Linked DNA regions of Struthio camelus. The protein of the gene in region 2 interacts with the protein of the main gene of each other region in a pairwise test. Links are inferred from orthologs where the notes say so. Each region holds a gene or a part of one and is shown on either strand. Other genes may lie near its edges.

Region 1 (7,608 bases), on a different chromosome or scaffold from region 2:
CCGTGCTTCTGAGTTAGGATTCAGGCTTAATGTTTCCCCCTTCCCTGCTGAATGGAGTTTTGTGATTTCCTGCCTGTCTATCCAGCGGCCTCAGGCACCACTGAATCATTTTTCTGTCATTGCTTGTATATATTGCCTGTATAACCCTTTAGTCTGCCTGTGGTGTTTTTGCAGAGCTGAGAAAGCATCTCAATTCCCCAGTCAGTCTGGGGCTATTTCATTGTTTTACTGTGTGAAAGCAGCAGGAGAGGCAAGGCTCTGAGCGGCTCCCTGGCAGTGCTTGCTCTACCCCCGCGTGACATTAACTTGCTCCACAAGAAATGTAAAATTGCTCTACGGTCTGGCTTCAGCTCTGGGCACAGGAGCCACTAGTAAGTCTGGAGGTAGGAAAAAGTTGTCCATGCTCTGCTTTCTGATTCATGCAGCGTGTGCAGGGCAGAGGGTTTTATGAAACACCACAGTAGTGGATCTTCAGATCCTACCAGACCAGGCAGCTATTCTGGCCAGTAACACCACATACGCGACAGCCTGCACAAAGGCAAGTGGGTGATTTTACAGTGAGAGTCTAGGGGCTGAGGTTCAGTGGCTTTAGCTACAGAGCCAGAAACTTGGAGAAGATATGCTGAGAAAAGGGGTCAGCAGAGCACCAGGGAGAGATGGTTTAGGCAAAAATACAGTAGGAAATGAACATATTTCAGAGAAATAAAACCATGAACACAACTAGGGCATCACGTGAAAACCAAAAGTTGGACAGCCCCCGGCCAGGCCATTAGTGAGCTTCTCTAGCTGCTCTATTTTAGAGAGAAAGAATAAATCATTCAGTGAATTCCTCATGTAAAACAGGATCAGCATGAAAAGGCAGAATAGCAGGTGGAAGCATTTGCACGTCCAGCCTTTCAGATGGGAGCTTCCCCAACACGTCAACCTGGCCCATCAAAACAAAATTCACTGTCGTCGTTATTGTCACGTTCTTCCTCGTTAGCAGGTGTTGGACTTGACAAACCAGGCACTAGCTCCTTTCATTTGCCATCTTCAGCGTCAGACCAGTATTCAAAGAGAGCACAACGTGCCGTCACAGTCAGCACACAGACACAAACATTGCTTGGGTTTTACGCTCCCACCTCTGCGGAGTGGCTGTGCAGTAGCTGGGTGAGCCTGGCCCCTGTTCAGTGGCTGGGGAGAAGCTGGGTTTGTTTTGTCCCTCCATCATGACCCCTGTGCATCCCCCACATTTTCTATAAGCTGCTTTTAAAGCAGTAAAACCGCTGTCCGGCCCTGGGACGTCTGCATGCTGCTACATCCCTCGTGGACTCTTATCCTCCAGGGTCAGGAGTGAGACCCTCCGAAATGCTCACTGCCGCCTCCTCTGTGGTGACCCTTGCATCCAGGCGCTCTAGTACCGACACTGCTCCCCAGGCCAAGCCTGGCAGATCTCTTGGTCTCAGCTGGTGCTGGAAGGTTTCTAGACTGGACAGCAGTTCACCAGCCAGCCAGATACCATGGAAAGTACTAAACTGCAGGGAGCTGGCTACTGTGGTGTCTTCCTAAGAATAAATTAGATATCTGTGTGTGAGGAGAGTGATGCTGCAGCTCAAACCCACCATCCGGTATCATGCAACTTCCTCCATCAATATAGGAGTCTCTTGCGAGGAGGGGTGAGGGCATATTGCACAGGGAGCAGAGCCACAAACTACGCTGTATAGGGCTCCTGGCAAACCCTCACTGCAAGGCTCAGGGGTTCGAGCAGTACTGAGCTAGGGAAAACCCTGCTCTGTACCACATAGCACCCTGTATAAGGCAATGTTCATGATTACTCCCCGTTGCTGGTGTTCGAAAGCATCAACATCTAATGGCTACAGAGAGGTCAAGCACTGCTGCTGAATGACAAGAACTATACAAGATTCTGCTTGTGGTGGCAAAACAGCTGGGAAAATGGGGAAAATGCTATTTTTTAAAAGGTTTTATTTGGACACTTGGACATTTTAGAAATAATTAAGTCTCATTAACATACAATTCAGTTCTTACTCCCATATTTTCAGAAGGAACATTCAATTCCCACATTGGGGGGGGGGAAAAAAAGATCCTCAAACCTGTAACGCCAGGAAGCCCTTCCACACGGTTTCTAGAGAAAGGCTGGCTTCTCCAAGCAGAAACCCAATGAGCAGGAGTAGCACAAATTCAGCAACTGCGCAGATGCAGTTCCCACAGAGGCCTCTGGGCATTACCAAGGTGGGCATCAAGTACTACACACTTGCGCAGCGATTGCCACCAGTGTTTGCTGGCTCTGCTCCCCAGAGGGGTGGGCTAAGGCCTCAGACTGATGTCCTGTGAATGCAGCACACCACGCAGGACTCTGCCGTGCTGTGACCGAGCGTGCTGTTGGACACAGCTCGGGTGGGCAAATAGCAGGGAGGAGTTGAGGCACATCAGGCTTACAGCTTCTCTGTGCTACAGGCACAGACCACGGCCTGGAGTAGGTAATTCAGAGCCTCTAAACAAAGCAGTAGCAGGAAGGGAACGTGAGAGCTTTCATTTTGCTAACTAGAGCTTTGCACGCTCTCAGATGGTCCATTTAGTTCCCTCTGTAAATTGTCTGAAACATTGTGCGCACAGACAAAAGACAAGATACTTCCCTTCTCTTAAATATACCACCAAACATCTTGCAGCCTTTTCAAAGTGCTTTGTTCCTCTCCCTCTCCCAGGAGCTATCCCTCTGAACACCACCTCCTTCCTCTGCTCTGTCACACACTGTTCCCCAGACTCCCAATTCAGCTCCTTGCACCGACTCTCCTCTTCTTCCGTCTCTACCTTTTAGCACTCATTCTCCTAAAAAGAAATTGCTTTCACCCTCCAAAAGCAGGGTGGTTATTAGACTGAAAGGAGAGAGACCCTGGGCTTCACTTTCCCAGGAAAGCGCACAGGGTATCGGACACAACTGCTCCCCACACTCACCCCTCCTAGGGCTCCTCTCCCCTGTGGATCTGCTGGTGCCGGAGGAGCGCAGAGCTCACGGTGAAGCCCTTCCCACAATTGGTGCAGGCGTAGGGGCGCTCCCCAGTGTGGATCCGCCGGTGCTGGATGAGGTGGGCACTCTGCCGAAAGCTATCCCCACAGTCGGCACAGGCATAGGGCCGCTCCCCTGTGTGGACTCTGCGGTGCCGGAGCAGGGCCGACCTCCACAGGAAGCTCTTCCCACACTCAGTGCATTCGTAGGGGCGCTCCCCAGTGTGGAAGCGGCGGTGCTGGATGAGGTGGGAGCTCACAGTGAAGCTCTTTCCGCACTCGGTGCATCCATAGGGGCGCTCACCCATGTGGAACCGCCGGTGCTGGATGAGGGCAGAACTCACCGTGAAGCTCTTCCCACACTCGGAGCACTCGTACGGCTTCTCCCCTGTGTGCACCCGCTGGTGCTTCATGAGCTCAGAGCTCTGGCTGAAGCTCTTGCCACATGCTGCGCACTCATAGGGTTTCTCCCCTGTGTGGATTCTCTGGTGTCGTGTCAGGGCCGAGCTCACGCTGAAGCTCTTCCCACAGTCGCTGCACTCAAAGGGTTTCTCCCCCGTGTGCACTCGCTGGTGCTGGACCAGCTGCGAGTTCCCAGAGAAGCTCTTTCCACACTCGGCACACTTGTAGGGCTTCTCCCCCGTGTGGGTTATCTGGTGCCGGATCAGCTTTGAGCTCATACTGAAGCTCTTCCCGCACTCGGAGCACTCGTAGGGTCTCTCCCCCGTGTGGATTCTCTGGTGCTGGATGAGATGCGATCGCTGCCGGAAGCTCTCCCCGCACTCGGCGCAGCCAAAGGGTTTCTCTCCAGTGTGGATTCTCCGGTGCTGGACCAGGTTGGAGCTCACCCGGAAGCTCTTCCCACAGTCCCCACATATCGTCAGCCTCCCCGCAGCAGGATTTCTCTGCTGGCTGGGGTCTGGCAACCTCCTGAAACTTTTTCCACGTAGCGTCGCTCTGCTTTGCCTCTTCCCCAGGGGAGGTCTCTGAACCCTTTCTGACCTGCGTGGGTGAACAGGGTCCTGTTCAGGACTCTGGGAACTGTTCTCCTTGGAGAGTCCCGATAGTAAATCTGGATCCACTGGCCGAGGAATGCCCTGGTGGGGATTTTCCTCTTTCTTGCTCACAATCCTATCCTCAGCTGCAACAAAACAAGAATCCAGAGAGGAGTCACAGGCAAAAAAGGAAATTTTGTGCAGGGGAGATCAAAAGGGGCTAAATTCTGAAAGTTCAGGAGTTTTTATACTTATTATCAGTCTACTGATACTTCCCTCCTACTCAGGGTATTTTGCAGCGTTATAGGAACAAGCCCTGGAAGGAGCCCTGCATGCCTTGCAATAATTGGAGTCTACTAGAATTAACTAGAATCAACTTTATTTTATTAATTCGTCAAACCAAAACCACAGTGAAATTTCAGCTCTGAATCCCCGTTTCGACATTTAGAAGACTGTTTCCTGACGACTAATGAAGTACAGACAGTCCACAGAGAGAAATTCAGAAGGTCACCACCAGCAAGCCTGAGCAGCACAGTTAGGACTGCAGGAGGGGTTGCGGGGAGATAGCTGCTGCTTTACCCTCTAAGGACACAAACAGCAAACAACGCACAGCCCCTGCTCCACAGCAGTCAGTCCAGATTGTTACTGACTTTGCCACAAACTGCACGAAGCCATGAAGTCAGTCTTGAGCGCCTGCCAGAAAAGCAGCCAATTCTGCTCTGCTTTTAGGTCCTTTTGACATCATAGATGATCCCAGATAAGGAATCCTGCCTTCCGCATACAAGGTCAAAGCTTATAACTCACAGAGACTGTCGAGGCAGTGCCTGTACATAAGGAAGGATGGCTTGTGGGGCAGAGCAGCATGTGACACCTCTGTTCCTTTGCCAAATCAGATTCTCAGTTAAAGCAGATGTTAGAGGTGTACAAAGTCTTCTTCAATACAGACCAGACATCCCAAAGAACTACACTGAAAGTCACATAAGACAAAGCTCTTCCTCCCCCTGGGAGGACTCAGCAGTGCAAAGCCCAGTCCTGATGTGGGGGCAGCAGTGCTCCATCTAAAAGATGGACAGAAGATCCTGATGACCACTGACCAGGCTGTGGCTGTCACCCCTGCACCTGATCAGGCTGCCTGGCTCAGGGTGTGAGAACTCCTTGCACTGGCTTGGCCTCCACACTGCAAGAAGACGGATATTTGAAGTGTGCAGAAAAAAGCCAGTCCTTTGTATAGAGAGGGCTAGATATCAGGAACTACGTGCAAATTTGTTGTTTGGTAAGAGATCAAAGAGAACTGGGTGACCCATGCTCATGAGCTTTGAGAAAAAAGCTTTTCAAGTCTGCTCAGAGAAAGGAAGAAGGGAGGGACTGTTTGAAGCATGTGCCACTCAAATGGTCCCCAGACATCTCAAGTAACATTGGTAATCTAGAAAGTAAGAGGATGAGGAAAACTTAAAAACACCTCTAAAGAGGAACGACCTGTGTAAGGCTCTCCTTCTTAGGACTTTTGAAATGGCAGAGGTAGGAGAATACTCTGTGTAGACACAGCAAGATCTCAGCAAACGGGATTCATACAGAGTTGGTGGAAAGTCTAGAAAGTTTTAATACTAGCCTCCTGCCCAGGTTTGGGGGAGAGGAGCCTTTAAAGGTCAAGATCATGCTGGGCTCTGTAACATTCTCTTCTTGTTTTTGTAGGCTTCCCCACAGAGGATCTCCTGCTCTGTCAAAAGACTCACTGTATTGTATAGAGCATGCTCAACAAGCAGAACAAAGCCAGGCAGTTCCCACAGCGTTAGAAGTAAAGGTTTTGAGCTTGAAAGGAAAAAAGCTGCTCTTCCAGGATACTATATCTGGAAGTGTTACTAAAAGTTGGGCTGAGAGTCAGAGAAGGGCCATAGAGAACTGTCTCATTCAGCAGAAGGTTACTTGGATTACAACAGATGAAACCTTTATGCTCTGACTTGTGCTGCAGGTATTAGAGGGGGAGAGGGGGAGAGGGGGAGAGGGGGAGAGGGGGAGAGGGGGAGAGGGGGAGAGGGGGAGAGGGGGAGAGGGGGAGAGGGGGAGAGGGGGAGAGGGGGAGAGGGGGAGAGGGGGAGAGGGGGAGAGGGGGAGAGGGGGAGAGGGGGAGAGAAAACGCACAGAGAAGACATTGGCCCTAAGGCATGAGACATGCAGGCCACCTGGAGAGGCTTATGCCCATCTTTGAGCAGAAGAAAAGTAACTTTCCATCAGTGCAGAACAAATCCATTGCGAAAGGCACTGTTGGTGAAATATGGGTTCAAGGGCCAAGCCCACTGGAGACTCTCTGTGGCTGGTTCCACATTAGACACTGATAAACGTGAAACATGAAAAAAAGTGCATGTCAGTGGAAGTAATACTAGCTATACAGTTATCACTGCTTCCTAGGGCACAGGAAATGAACAAATTACCTGTCCTCTTATTCACATGAAGTCTCACAGAAGCATAAACTTTATGAATCTACATTGTACAGTCAATGCTAGGTCAGTAGAAAGCTTTGCCAAGACAAGACGCTTGCAAGACGCTTCCAGGGTATTTACACAGAGCAGCAACTCCTTCTAGCACACTGCTGAAGTGTGGTTTGGTGAGCAATCCTAACCAGTTTGAAAGCATGTACCCTCAATATTGCTGTGGGCTTTGCTGTCAGTGGAGAAACGTAGCTTGTTGCAGGCTTACTGAGGGCTTATGCATGAAATCACTGGTAAAACAGGACCTGTGAAGCATGCACCCTTTTTGCTGTCGGGCAAGGGTAAATAGATGTCAGAGGGATGTACGTGGGGTGTAGAAATGGCAACACACACCTCTGGAGAGAGGCATCACATCCAAGTTTAAGACCGGTCAATCAGACTAATAGATTTCCAGATGATCTCTATAGACTATATGGACTTTCAGGGGTGAAGGGTGAGTTGCTGTTGGCTATGTTTTAACCAAAAGTATGGAACAGCTTGAGGACTAAAGCCATAGGCATGGAGACCTCCAGATTTTTTTCCCCTTAGCGGGGTAGACAAGTATGCTTTGTATAAAGATTCATTTGCTACCTCCTGATTCTCTGAAAACTCTATCTTGTAAAATAAACAGATAACATATACCAATAGTGAGAGATTGATGTACAAACCACAGGCGGTTCCAGCGGTCTGGCAGAGTTGCAATAAGGAAGTTCATGCCTTCAAAGAGGAAGGTCACTCCTGAACCTTAAGTATGCAATAAAGGAAGGAGAGTCTAGAATTCCCACCCACCCATACATGACATATGTATGTATTTAATCTTCCTCTTTCTAATCGGTATAAGAAAACACCATGACACGATTTCACAGTGAACTCCTGAGATACCTTTCTCAGCAGTTTGGTGTGGTAGTGATTCCAGTTCTTCCCTCAGCTAGTTTTCATTAGAATGGCCCCTTGAGAGGAACAGAAACTGGAACTTTGCTATTCACCATGGGGGCATTTCCATTGGTCTGCACTTACTCCCGTCCAGGCCTGGAGCAAAAGAGAAAGGTAATATCCCAAGACAGGACAAGAAGAGGACATCTCTGACAGGCTGGCCTGAAGCTGTTGACCTGTTTGTCAAACTTACTGAGTAGATGGAGCTAGTG
Region 2 (7,151 bases):
TCAAAGGCTAACAAAGTTATTTTCACTGGAAAGGAGCAGGCTTTTGCATTTACCACATATTATCAAAACAGTTCCACTGTAAATATTTGCACCTGTTATTAAGCTATGCACACAAGTCCTCCCAAGCAGATTTGCCGACAAACCGAACATTTGAAAAATATCTTAAAGGCTTTTGTAGAGGAAAGAACAAAGGGACATTATTCAGAGGGATACCACCAGGTGAAACGCTAATAATAAAAACAATGGCATAAGCAGTTTCAAACTGCTACATCTCTAAATGTTATTTTAAAATAATATTTGCATATCTTAATGTTTTTTTTCTTCCACGGTGCCATGTGACAAACCTGTGTAAGAAATAAGGGAATGTCCCTGACTCATCACATAAACAAATGCTAAAAGTAATTCCTGAAATATGTGTCATCACAGAAAGCATTATGAAACATATTTTGATGTGAGTCTCTGTGCTTTAATTGCATGATCTTAGCACTGTACACTGTTTGCACACAGTATTTTGAAATGTAAATAGGACCCTTGAAAACATACAGATCTTCAAAAAAAGAAAACTTATTTAGACTCGATTGCATCTTTAACATACTTGTTCTCATTTCCTGCTTCAGATTTCTCTTTCTGGTATTGGCACTACACTGGTACAGCACTGAACAGTTCTTTCCTGATTTTTGCTTTTAAAAAGTGAAAGTAAAAATTACAGAAAAATGTTAACAAACAGATTTTACAAAAAATTGTCTGAATTATTAATTTAATTGCATCCTGTTTCTCAAATAAATGCTAGAGAATTTAAAGAGTATGTTTCTCCAAGTTTGAAATAAGTACAAAATAAAGGAAGGAAATTTCTGTAAGAGTTATAAATAAATCATTTGAAACTTATAAATAGATCGCTTTATCACAGCTACTCACCAGATGTTCAATTAAATACTGTCAAGCAAATATTTTAAATCAACATTTATTTTGTTAAGGAGCAGATATGAAACAGACAATTAAATCTGACCGCAGCAATACAAATAAAAACCGTGAAACTGCCAAAGACAACAGAGTTGCTCTGCATTTACGCTGATGCAAGTGAGATAAAAATCTGGCCCTACCAGCTGAGCTGTGAATGAAAGACATTAAGACAAAAACGTTCTTCTCCTTATACACAGAATTGCTACAATCTCAATGCAGCTATATGAAAATACCTGATTCTTCTATATTTTCATATCTACCCCGAATAAAGCAACCTACATTTTAAACACACCTGTCACTGTTCTCAGAAACTATTCAGTTACCTTCATTATCTTAGCTAACAATATAATTGAAAATCTTACCTTGGAGGAACAAGGTTTGACATTACTTATCACAGTCTCTCCCCAGCTGAAGAAAAAAATGCTGAGACAAACAAATGAAGTTACCCGAAAGGGGATCATCTTTTACTTGAAGAAATGCAAACGCTTTGACGGGTTTTGAATTTCTGTGGAAAGAACTGCACACTCCGAAGCCCTGAGCTAACTATTTGGGAATGTGTACAGCACAAAGAGCAGCCAACACACCACTTCTTTAATGCCTGGGTTTAATAAAATGCATTCCACTAGATTTTATATACTGCATTGCTTTTTACCTGAGAGAAGTTACTGCTTATTATCTTTATATGACTCACACGAGCGTATAAGTATTTTTATTGTGATAAGACTGTGGCAGATCTTGTTAAATGCTATTTTTGAGCATTGGTATATATGTATGTTTGTACTGAATCTGGGCAAGTCTGGGCTACTTGAAAGGAAAAAGTGTTAATCACTGTTTTCATCTTTTTGCAAAGGTTTTTGTAACTAAAATGAAGCTGTTTACACTTGTCTGGTGGTAATGCACTAGATCCAGCTGTGGGGCAATTTCAGAATATGCCTTAAAAGCAAATTCCTTACAGAAAACTGAAAAATATTACTTTAAAATAATAGTTTGTGTTATGTTGAAGATTGTTTACACATGGGACAAAAAAAATCTTTTTTTAATCTAATGTTTTCTTTGGAAATGAATATCAAAAAGGTATGGAGCACCTGCAGCTGGTTTCCTCATGAGTGGAGCACATTCAGCTGCTGGTGAAATTACTAACAACTTTGTTTTTTTGATATCTTACAAAATCCAATTTTTAATTTGTTCTAACGTACTTCATAGCATGTTATATTTTTCCAAAATAAGAAACACGAGAATGTAACTAGTGCACCGACTGATGCTCTTGTAAAAAGATGTAGTCTATGATCCAAAAATACAGTCTCTGACAAGGAGGTAAGAAAGTGAAAAGATTTCATGGCTGCCCATATATGACATTAAGGAGGAAATAACAGTTTTTATTCTTCTTTTTATACACAGAACTAAGAAAAGGAGCCAAATGTTAAAAAGTAGCACTAAAAAAGATCAGAACTTTGACTGAACTTCTTATCTCTCCTCACCCCATGCAGTGGCCTTCAGTTAACCTGAAGCTTGGAGGAAAGTAAGATATGAAGTAAAGGGCTAAAGCAGATTAATCCCCCCTGGACCAAAAGGAAAGAAAACGTGTTTCTGCAGCAGCATAGTTATGTTCCAGCCTTAAGATTTGTAATCATGTCAAAATCTGTCCCATAAAGATTTAGGAACTGATCTTCATCCTTCACTGGAATATCAGTCTGTAGCCCATATTAAAATTTATGAAACTTCTTTGAAGTCAGTTGCCAGAGTAAGACCTTCTGTTTTGTAACGGCATGAGATCAGGCTGCTTCCTGTCCCAGAATAATCATACAGTTATAGAATATATGGTCCTCAGCTAGCCACCTTCTCATCCCACAAACTGAAAGATCTAAGATCTTTCACCAGGAGAAGACAGTTAATAAATCTAAAAGAGAGTTATGAAGAAGTAAAAAAGTTAAAAAAAAAAGACTAGAAGATATGTAAAGACTATTTTTAATCCTAAACTTCAGAAGGTGGGAGTTGATGCTGCACACCATCAAAACTTGCAGAAAGTCTAAAGAAGTCCCAGTCCTGCCAGGCTGGAGATGACTATGATCTTTCCAGGTGTGACGTGGGCTCAAACTCCACAGTAGTTTCGCAGCTCCACTACAGTCCTGTCTGGGTGGATCAGGTCTTGATCCTGAGAAAGCCTTCAACCGCATCCTAAATGAAGCAGTGCAAAGTGGGTCTTAAAAAGTTTACGTAGGTTGAAAAGAACAGGAAAAGTACCACGTGGAGGAAATAGCAGCGACTAGGCTTCTACCTGCGACACTTAATTCAATTGGTTGGAAAGGAGAATTTGGGGCTGGTGTTCTGAACTGGAGATGAAAGGCTTCCATTTCAGGGTTTTCCTCTCAACTATAAAACTGGGATGCTATAAACATTAAGCATGTTCGGTAATCTGAGCCTCGTATAAAATGGTAATAGTAACACCTACCTCACAAGCTGCATTAAAAATATTTGTTGGGGGGCTGTGAAAAAAGCGTTTTACAAGTGTAGAATACTATTTTTACCCTTCTAGTCAAAGACATAGAACAGCTGCACTCTTTGAAAAAGAGAGGAATTGGTGCAAACTCAAATAGAACAGCCAAGAAACGTCTCGCCAGGAAATCGCCAAGGCATTTAGCCTTGTGCTGACAACTCATCCCAGGCATGGCAATATCCCAGGACAACACACCCTGCTTTGCCTGAAAACAAAAATGCAGTGTTTCATTCTTTCAGAGCAAATTACTTTTTTGCTTTGCGTGAGTTTTTTAACTCATTTTCACACACATAGTTTAATTTTTTTATTGCTATTTCTGCACCCCGTTTAAAAAAAAAAAAAAACCTTATGTTGTGAATTCCAAGCCACAGCCTCAAGTAACAGATCTAAGACGCGTCCACACGGAGCTCCGCACACCCACAAACGGCAGCGGGGCCAGGAAGGGGTTTCATTTGTCCTGCAAAACTACTTAGAAATGTGTTTACTACGATATCAGTTAAAAACACAACAAAATAAAGCAAATCCTGCTCTTTGTGAACGGAATGCAGGACGGGGGACGTGGCGGGAGGCGGCGCGGCGCGGCGCCTCGCCGCTGCCGCTCTGCAGGCCGCTGTGGCGACACCGCCCCGACAGGGCGCGAGCCGCCCTGAGGCCCCGCCCCTCCGCCTAGGCCCCGCCCCCGCGCGTTGCCAAGGCAGCGGCGTCCCTGGGTCCCGAGATGGCGGCGCGGGCGGGCCGCGCTCGGCCCTGACCAGCGGGGCCCCGGCCCCGCGCCGCTGAATGGAGCCTGGCGGGAAGGGCCGAAACCTCCCTGGCGGCCGCCGGGACTTCGCGGTTCGCAGTGGGGCCTCCGCGTATCCTTCCGCGTACGCGGGCGGGCAGCGTGGGGCACGGCCGCCCCGCGGAGGGGGCAGGCCGCGCGGGGGATGGCGAGCTCTGTGGGGTGCCCCGTGGGGGGCAGGGGCGTGACAGAATCAGTTGAAAACGTTGAACCTGATGATCTCTCTCACCCTGACGCTCGTAAACCAAGGAGGCGGAGCGCCGCTGTCGGGGTGGTGGCTGGTGAAACAGAAATTCTGTCTGTCAGGTATTGCTTCGGTGATGACTTGAAGGAGAGCTCGTTGTACGTTATTATCTTTTAGACTACCACAGAAAAGTTGAGTGACAGTCCTCTTAGCATTTTTTTTTATTTTTCTTCTTGAAGATACTGCCAGTTGGAAAGCATATTTTCCATCCTAATTCCAGAATCCCTATTTTCTTACTTGGATGTGAGTAATGATTTAAGTGATACTGATAAAAGTTCTAAGCTCTGCCTGTACTTACAGTAAGGAGAGCTGTTTTATCTAGTGGTATGAATGCATTTCAGCTAATCCCTTAGAACTGGGGAGGGCTCTGTATGCAGACAGACTTTCCCTGTGATAAATGTGTCCGTATGTCACAGATTTAGATAATAATATGCTCTAGAGGTCCCTGCTTGGGCAGGGAGGTTGGGCTAGATGATCTCCAGAGGTCCCTTCCAACCTAAACGATTCTGTGATAACAGAAAGATGTATCATCAAATAAACCAAAGAAAGTGAGATTTCATCAGCTGATATCATAAATGTTGCATGCAAAGCCTCTGGTGTTTGTTAAAGTCACTGTAAATAGTAAGATGCAATTAAACTTGTTCTGGATGAACAAGAAGTAAAGTACTACCATAGTATATATTTATGGGACCAGCTGTTTTATAATTAGTTGAAAAGCATAGTGACATTTGGTATCTCATGATTAAAGGTTGCCCTTTCCCAAAGAGGTACATAATAAATCCTCAGTGACATTATACCTTTTTCTGAGATGTTTGATACAGATGTTTTCATTATCCTTAGCATGATACTAGGGATAGAGCTTTAAAGTTTCATTGTGAACGGGATTTAGAAGAAGAACGTCAGGCACTGAAAGAAGATCAAAAAACACATCGGAGGAGGGCACAAAAATTTTCCATAGAGACAAATAGAAGAAGGAAGTAAGTAAATAAGGTTCTTTTGGCAGGAGACTGTAAAGAATGGAGTCAAAGCTTTGAGACAGCTGAATATATTTCTACTGTTTGCATGTTCAGATAGTCTGTTAAATAGTGTCACTGTTTTGTTCTGAAAGAGTCTAGGCCTTAAAGTTTCACTAATCTAATTTCTTGCTATAGAACATACAAAAAGCACAATATTCAGAGTTACTGAATTACTTCTTGGAAACTTCCTGTAGGCACCCTTTTATTGTTTAGAATAAAAGTAAGCAGTGCTTTCATTTTGTGCCTCTGACCTGCATTTCTAGTATTTTCTTCAATTTTTGTATTAGCTTCAGTGAGTGTATAATAATGCAGATACACCATAAGAATAAGCGGGCAGGAAGTCTCCCGTTACCATTGTCTACTGAAGTGTATGCACTTTTAGTTGTGTGACTCTCCTATGTGGTGAGCCTTTGTACACCCACTTCCCAATAAACTCAAAATTAAGGCTTTCTAGTACCAAAATATATTTGTAATAAAGTTTTATTTTAAAGGAAGCTTTGAATGCTCTGCCTTTCTACATACATGATAAATGCAAAGCGATGAAATACTCTATGACAAATGGATCAAATAAACTACATCCTGAGACATTTTGGTGAAGTGCGGTAAACAGTGTAACGGGCAGGGAGGGATCTTCCCAGGCACTCAGAAGATACTGTCACATAGACCTAGAAACTAGGCTGTGTGTGTAGCGGAGACAGAAGGGTTCCCCTCTGAGACAGTTCAGAGCGAACCCGCAGCCTCAAAGCTGTTTCCTCTGCCTTGTGTTGACTCTGAAATGCTCGTCCACTGCAGTTCCATGTCAGATGATTTCTGTTACACAATGTTTACAGTTGAAATATATTGATAACTCAGAACAGAAGCAATAGATATTGTTTATACAGCCCTTATAGCTTGACAATGGCTTGATACAGTGTGCTGTCAGCAAATATTTTAAAATATAAAGAAAAATGGAGGAGGAAGTATAATCACCTGGGACTGATTAAAGACAGTGTGTGACCTGCAGCTTTTGCAGATAGTAATAAGCTGAGTCTTGGCTGAAAGATAAAATATCTTAGTTCTCTGAAATGGTGCTGCTGTAACACCACGCACCTGAAATGGATGCTGTTTATCATATTACTGGTCTTGAAATACTATACTCCAATGTAAAAGCAAACACTAGCCAGTCTGCATATTTTTGCTGGACTAGTATAATCAAAACTAATACTCACGGATATATAAATACATTTCCACATGAATTTCATTGTAGCCTTAGGAAACACAGTATAAATCTAAGTTACGCAGGTGAGCCAGTTAAAATTTTAGGTGTGGTAATCATAAAATGAAATTGTTTCCATTTGTGATGATTGAGAATGACATAATAGCATAACTACAAGCATAATAAGCAGTTTAGATGGAAGTGTGTCATGATGAGTCTCCCCCTAATAACTGAAAATGAGTTGTCTAAAGTTAGAAAGATAGTAAGTGTATACAGTGTTAATAACTTGTGAAACAAAATTCAAAATTAAGGTTCACTGCATATATAAAAGAAAGCAATTTGGAAATAAAAAGTTGATTGATACTGAATATTTTTTCCCAGACAATTATGTAGATAGGAGGTGATTGATCTCCTAATGGAACAGCCATCAAGTCATGCCTCAGATCTGGGCATGAGCCAAG

What was found.
Region 1: the proteins of CEP126 (region 2) and HMOX2 interact in a two-hybrid assay, tested with the Homo sapiens proteins (2 studies listed by BioGRID and IntAct). The link is inferred for Struthio camelus from reciprocal best matches to the Homo sapiens genes CEP126 and HMOX2.

Annotation. Positions count from the first base shown.
Region 1 is NC_090956.1:18,690,268-18,697,875, reverse strand, and holds the start of HMOX2 (heme oxygenase 2), read right to left. Parts: upstream 2,958-7,608; 5' UTR 2,953-2,957; exon of another isoform or gene 1,946-2,952; intron 1-1,945. Other genes in the region: zinc finger protein 436, read right to left, coding at 2,958-4,144.
Region 2 is NC_090942.1:208,919,235-208,926,385, reverse strand, and holds the start of CEP126 (centrosomal protein of 126 kDa), read left to right. Parts: upstream 1-4,147; 5' UTR 4,148-4,234; coding exon 4,235-4,308; intron 4,309-5,330; coding exon 5,331-5,456; intron 5,457-7,151. Other genes in the region: ANGPTL5 (angiopoietin-related protein 5), read right to left, coding at 1,323-1,421. UniProt on the Homo sapiens protein: Participates in cytokinesis. Necessary for microtubules and mitotic spindle organization. Involved in primary cilium formation.